Xenopus tropicalis: one gene and its partner. The protein of the gene in region 1 binds, or shares a complex with, the protein of each later gene. Links are inferred from orthologs where the notes say so. Each region holds a gene or a part of one and is shown in the gene's direction. Other genes may lie near its edges.

Evidence for each region.
Region 2: tubgcp3 (region 1) and nme7 share a complex: the UniProt entries of both Homo sapiens proteins name them as parts of the gamma-tubulin ring complex. The link is inferred for Xenopus tropicalis from reciprocal best matches to the Homo sapiens genes TUBGCP3 and NME7.

What each region holds. Positions count from the first base shown.
Region 1 is NC_030678.2:116,382,225-116,385,882, forward strand, and holds part of tubgcp3 (gamma-tubulin complex component 3), read left to right. Parts: coding exon 1-65; intron 66-579; coding exon 580-698; intron 699-3,658. UniProt on the Homo sapiens protein: Component of the gamma-tubulin ring complex (gTuRC) which mediates microtubule nucleation.
Region 2 is NC_030678.2:55,292,783-55,296,440, reverse strand, and holds part of nme7 (nucleoside diphosphate kinase 7), read left to right. Parts: intron 1-133; coding exon 134-244; intron 245-1,751; coding exon 1,752-1,802; intron 1,803-3,658. UniProt on the Homo sapiens protein: Possesses an intrinsic kinase activity. Displays 3'-5' exonuclease activity with a preference for single-stranded DNA. Does not seem to have nucleoside diphosphate kinase activity.

The sequences.
Region 1 (3,658 bases):
CAAAGGCCTTCCCAATACAGTATCACGAAATGTGCCAAGGACTAGAAGAGAAGGAGACTCAAGTGGTGAGAATAGAAATGCAGCTCTGGTTTCATGCCTGTTCTGCTAGGGGTTTAGGCTTAGAAAATGCAGGGAATATTTATTTTATTATTTCACAGCACAGAATTGAGGCTTGATAGACAAACTTTGCATCCTTTTGCAGCTGACAAAATTTTAAGTATATAAAGGACGTCTTCACTTTCAAATAACCCCCCCCCCCCCCCCCCCCACTAGGGCAACTTATTTTCTTTTCAGGAATACTGTCAGCCCACATATTTAAAAGGGAGGACATCATTTAGATTTTTTCTCCTGTGAGACAGAGAACTGTGTGTAGCAATCATGCAGCTATCATTGTGCACCCTAAAAATGCTAGAAAATACTTGATATATCCAGAGTCAGATTAAAATAATTCCAGAGCCATATTCACATCATTTTTAGAGACACATACCTTTTAGTCATATTCTGCATTATTTTCACAGTAAATGTATTTTTTCTGGAATAACCCAAATTTATATGGATTTATTTTTCCCTTTTTTTTAGGGTCTGTTGAAATTACAGAGACAGCTTTAGTGAGAGACCTTTTGTACGTTTTCCAGGGAATTGATGGGAAGTTCATAAAAATGTGCAATTCTGAAAACTGCTACAAAGTAGACGGCAAGGTAAAATAAATGAGTTGTGAAGTAGAACAGTATAATTGCAAGTATATATGTTGATGTGACTTTTTCACTAAAATCTGGAATTTAGGGGTAAAGAAATGTAAGAACCATTTCAGTATTATGGCAAATAATTTACATCTAAAGTTGGTTTAACCTCACCAGGAAAATATTTATCTTTGAAGCTTTGACTGAACATTTTACTAAAATATTTGGGAATGTTTTTGGCAATGCATTCAGAAATTTCTTTTTGTTGTTTTCTGCTTTGGCAGCTGCATTTTGCCTTCTTTTACTGATAAATATCACCATGAAAGAGATTTTCAGTTTCCAGAAATCTATTAGCTTTTCCTTCTCCTATCAAAGAGTTAATCTCAAGTTGCAGGCATACCTTCAGTTGTCTCAATAGTGCCCTTAAGTCTCCCCATACTTCACCTGTTCAGAAGATCAGAAGCCAAACAAGAAAAAAAAACGCTGAGCAGGGTAGAGAAGATTCCCATAATGCAACGCTCCTGCACTGACAATTTGACCAGATCCATAGCGTGCACATGCGCACACAGCAGGAGCGTCTGGTTGCTATGGCGACGCAGACGAGGACAGCCGGCAGGAGGGTGAAGCAAGAAGCGAGGCGGCAGGTGCGGGGAGCCCAATTCAGTGCCTTATCGTGACCATTTGTTGCTTACATGACAAGCTGTCACTATCACCCCCACCGTATAACATTACATAAGTCAGAATAATTGCAGGCACCTAAATGAAATCATGAGCAAAAGGTCAACGGATGTTTGTATGTTTGTCGCCAATGTCACTAACTCACAGCCAACGGGGTCCCCTCATTAGATAACAGCTTGTACCGCTGCCCTAAATATTATAATCGTCGAGCAGGGGGGAAGGGGGGGTGGCGGCGGCGGCGGTGGTTTGCGAGCCGGCAGGTGCTGAAATCAGAGCAGAGTGGGGGTGGGGGCATGTCTCAGTGGGGGCGGTGAGTTGTGAGCCGGCAGGCGATGGGATCAGAGTGCGGGGGGTGGCGGCAGTTTTATTATTATTATTAACATTTATTTATAAAGCACCAACATATTACACAGCGCTGTACAATAAGTGGGTTTCATACATTGGACATACAGAGTAACATAAAGCAATCAATAACCGATACAAGAGGTGAAGAGAAAAGAGCTTACAATCTTGTTTTGCGAGCTGGCAGGTGCTGGAATCAGAGCAGAGTGGGGGTGGGGGCATGTCTCAGTGGGGGCGGTGAGTTGTGAGCCGGCAGGCGATGGGATCAGAGTGCGGGGGGTGGCGGCAGTTTTATTATTATTATTAACATTTATTTATAAAGCACCAACATATTACACAGCGCTGTACAATAAGTGGGTTTCATACATTGGACATACAGAGTAACATAAAGCAATCAATAACCGATACAAGAGGTGAAGAGAAAAGAGCTTACAATCTTGTTTTGCGAGCTGGCAGGTGCTGGAATCAGAGCGGGGGGGGGGGGAGTGGCGGCGGCGTTGGGGGATGAGTTGTGAGTCGCAGATGCGGGAATCAGAGCGGGGGGGGGAATATGGGTTTGTGAGCCGACAGATGCGGGGATCAGAGGGGGGGGGGCCTGTGCTTTTTCAGCAATAGCCCATACAGATGTGCTGGACAAGATGGCAGCGCCGTTCACTGCAACAAGTATGCAGTTTCTAGTGCGTGTATCTCTGTAAATCTTTTATTAGGCAAACCAGAAATATAGCGTTTCTACACAGCAATAGTAGTACTATTTAATAGTGTGCTTAAAGGAACAGTAACACTAAAAAAATGAAAGCGCTTTAAAGTAATAAAAATATAATGCACTGTTGCCCTGAACTGGTAAAACTGGTGTGTTTGCTACAGTAACACTACTATAATTTATATAATAAGCTGCTGTGTAGCCACGGGGGCAGCCATTCAAGCTGGAAAAAAGGAGAAAAGGCACAGGTTACATAGCAGATAACAGATAAGTTCTGTAGAATACAATAGTGTTTTATCTGTTATCTGCTATGTGCCTGTGCCTTTTCTCCTTTGAATGGCTGCCTCCATGGCTACACAGCAGCTTATTTATATAAATTATAGTAGACTTTCTGTAAACACACAACTTTTACCAGTGCAGGGCAGCAGCACATTATATTTTAGTTACTTTTATACACTTTTATTTTTTGGTGTTACTGTTCCTTTAATAGATTTTGACTTTCCTTGTCCTTTAAACTGTGGTATTGTAGTGCCATCCAGTGTACAAAAGGCAGCATTACTTAAGATGCTCTGTGATTTAAGGTGACCAATATTAATTAGATGATAAAGCAAAAACCAATTAATTGTAACAAAACGCATAACAATTATCTTATTATCCGATTTAGGCAAAACTCTTTATGACACTACCCAAGTTCTAAAGATAGTTTCATAACCTACTGTAAATAAAACTTTTCGTTATGTTGATAGAAATAACCTTTCGGATTTAATGGCTCAGCTGACTAAATTTTGAGACTAGTGTTCTGTGATTTAATGGACATTAAGTGAAAGGGTGTTGCGTATACTGAAAGGAATTTTTTTACTTTATCAACTCCCTTCTTATTTAAAGAAAGATTTTGCACAACCAGGCTATGTTCTGTAGATTGTGAGTGTCCACACTTATGGAATATCTATCACTGGGAAATGGCTCCCAGTGATCCTTAGCTTTTAGATCATTGCTGCACATTATTGTCGCCCATTAAAATCAACCAAAATGACCTTGAAATACCTTCTAAGCTGTAGCACTGAGGAAAAAGCCACTGTGCTTTCTCAATACACACCCCAGAGACCTGTATAGGGCAAGGTGACCTGATTAACTGCTAAATCCAGGCAATAAGCAAGTGTGGGAACTCAGTCTTTAACAGAATGTGTGCAGAAATTTTGGTCATGCTGCCCCATGAAGCAGAAAGACGACATACCATTCCATTGTGGGGTGATGAATG
Region 2 (3,658 bases), about 61 Mb from region 1:
AGAGACAGTGGCTAAAATTGCAGCTGATTACAGTAATAAATTCTCAAAAGCTTGCAGAAATAGAAAATGCTAATACATTGTTTTACCTAAAGCAAATGCATTCTAAAATATATTTATATTTTCTTTATTGCAGAACATTAGCTTTGATAAAACCAGATGCTGTAACAAAAATGGGTTCAATTATTGAAGCCATACTGGACTCAGGGTTTGTAATCTCAAAGGCTAAAATGGTTTTGCTCTTAAGGTAAATATTATGATAAAATTGATGCAGTTGTGCTGTAATTTCTTTGCATATTTTGAAATGAATATGTTGGAACTTTATAAATTATGGGTAATAAGTTAATAATTAGTTAAAGGGGTTGTTCACGGAACAAGTCGCCGGTGGAAAGGCCAGTGCATTGCTTCGGCTTTCCAGAGTCGCGTGAAGTTGCCTGCAGGAGGAAACTTTGTGCAACTTTGGAAGCCAAAGCAATGCGTAGGCCTCTCCAGCGGAGACTCCTGTTGTCGCTGGTGGAAAGGCATTTCGGAGCAGGTAGTCGCCACAGTAGCAGAGATCTATTGCGGGCGACTAACTCTGTGGGCCATCAGCCTTGAATTAACTTTTAATAGGATCTAGAGAGTGCTATTCCAAAACAGTTTACAATTGGTCTTCATTTTTTATTTGTGGGTTTTTAATTATTTAGCCTGTTGTTCAGCATCTTTCTTGAGTCAGAAGAGGAAGGCAAATAATTTAAAAACTATAAAAAAAAACCAAAAAACAAAGGCCGATTTAAACGTTGCTAAGAACAGTTCATTCTATAGCATACTAAAAGTTAACCTGAAGAATGAAGCACCCAGAGGGGACCAGATTTGGGTAAATTATGGAAGTCTTTTTCTAAAATGTCCATGTTTTCAAATCAGAAAGGTAGGTAGGACAGTTGTATCTGCCAGCCTATGTCCACCAATGGAGAAATACCTGAATCTGAGAACACTGCCTCCCTTTGACAGCACCACTGTAGATGTGTCCCATGACAAGAGGCGGCATGGAAAGTTTTAGTTAGAAACCAGTACATATTAAATTAGCCTCAGCTGGTAGTGAATGACAGCTATTGCCCTATTGTTTGTCTCATAAAGTTAAATTAGTATTTTTTTATCCACTTTCTTAAATCAGATCAGCCACAATGTTAAATACCAGTGTTTGTTTTTCCACCTTAATCAGCATTTATACCTCTCTTTGATGTGCTTTACTTTAATGGTGTCATTAAGCTCTAGTAAATTATATTAGCTTGCGGTTATTTCTCAGTGTGGTTCATATCAATTCTGCAAATCCACCCCCATTATATTAGCTGCCTAGAACTGGAAATGGGCTGAAAGAAACTGTCATAAGTTAAAGTACACAATACAGAGGGTAAGGCTGGACAAAGTGAATAAATTGTGTGTGTGTGTTTATACATATATATAAATAAAAATACCTCACACTGTCCGCACTCCCTTTAATTGTCCAAGATTCAAAGATAACGGCGTGGATAACGTACGTACGTACGTACGTACGTACGTACGTACGTACGTACGTACTTACATACACACAGTTTCTTTTCTTTACTTTGCTGATTTCACTTAAACTAGCTTAGATGTGTTATTTGGCCATGGGTGCCAAATCTTACTCATTCATCTGTATAGTGTATCCCCTAATGTAAAATATAAGACAAAATTTGCCAGGGGTAAAGAGGAAAAGAAATGCAGCTGTAACATCTCTTTATTCTTTTTTACAGAACTGAAGCAATGGACTTTTATAATGAACATCATTCAAAATCATTTTTTAGGTATGGTTTTAAAGTTGATCTACAGAAGGTAAAGTGGGATTAAAATTCAGTTGCGGTACACTGTGGACAATTTTGTCACCATATTTGACATATAAAGTCCCATTTACGACTGTGAGTGCAGTGTGCAATTTTTAGCTGCAATTTGCCATTTTTTTACCCACAACTTCAATGTCATTGTGGCTTGTCTTAAAGGAACAGTAACACCAAAAAATGAAAGTGTATAAAAGTAACTAAAATATAATGTGCTGCTGCCCTGCACTGGTAAAAGTTGTGTGTTTACTTCAGAAAGTCTACTATAATTTTATATAAATAAGGTGCTATATAGCCATGGGGGCAGCCATTCAAAGGAGAAAAGGCACAGGCACATAGCAGATAACAGATAAAACACTATTGTATTCTACAGAGCTTATCTGTTATCTGCTATGTAACCTGTGCCTTTCTCCTTTTTTCCAGCTTGAATGGCTGCCCCCGTGGCTACACAGCAGCTTATTATATAAATTATAGTAGTGTTACTGTAGCAAACACACCAGTTTTACCAGTGCAGGGCAACAGTACATTATATTTTTATTACTTTAAAGCTCTTTTATTTTTTAGTGTTACTGTTCCTTTAACCACAGTAGTATCTGATACAACAAAATTGAAGCAAGTGCAAAATTTCATTGTGGGGATTGCATTATTCAAATGGCATTACTGTGTCTTTTGCAAGTGTCTCTACATTTGTTGCACCTATTGACGCAGCCTGCTATGGGAACCTTGGAATAACTCAGGCTGTAGCTCAAGTTCCTTTTGTAAATATGCACACCTGTGAACAACCTGCTTATGGAAAAATATATATGCTTTGACATAGTTTTAGAGATTCTCTTTTATTATTAGGGAAGATTAAGGTATCCTAACTGGATGTTCATGTCCCTGTTTTGTTTGGATTTTTTTTATTTTGTTTACACCCCCTGGTGTTAGTCCACTTGCCTTTGCTCACTTAACCATGTGTCCTAGTGCCTATTTATAAGGCAATTATCATACAACCTGAGCATTCTCAAATTTGCAGTTTATCACATGCTTTCCCCTTCAACTGTACCCTTACACTTACTCTGGCCCACAGCTAATCCAACTTTGGCACACTATTTCAACTTGCTGCCTTTAAAGGGCATGTAAAACCCACACACAAAAATGTAATCAGTGAACAGCCTCTGAAATCTTTCAATACCTGCCACTCTGGTTGTCCAGAGGTTAATAGGAAGGCTGCAACATACCCTTAATCACTTAGATTTCCTTCTCCTCCTGAAACCCACTTGGGCCCCCTCCCATCAGGAATTTGCTTTGGCTATTGGCTTGTGGGCATGCTCAGTTGTTCTAAACTCAGATTACTAAACACATCCTTCAGACTAGCAGCCAGTGAAGAGATGGCATTGCTGGTTTCCATATAAACTCAGCTCTAGCTGTCTGCTTCTCTTTTTTTCTCCTAACCTCCTCTCCTGAGCTCAGCTGAATGCTGAATAAGGGTATGTGTGTGTATGCTGTTTGCAGATATAAATGTATCTGATTATGCATCAGAGGAAAAATGGCCACCGTGTGAAAGCTGCTATTTGCTTTAGGAAAATGTGATGGTGATGGAGGGGGATATATGCAGTACAAATAATGCCATTATGGTGGGGGTGACATGCCCAACTGATATACCTTGTAGGCAAATGTAGGCTTTACATGCCTTTAAAGATGCCTCCAGATCAGCCAAAAACAGTTGAGAAGGTCATGGACAGGCCCTCACTTGCTCCAATTGAGATTCATGCCTGTACTGCTACCAAAGAAGTTCTACTCACTAAACAACCTCTGTAATCCTAATTTCCACCCACCTTCTAATC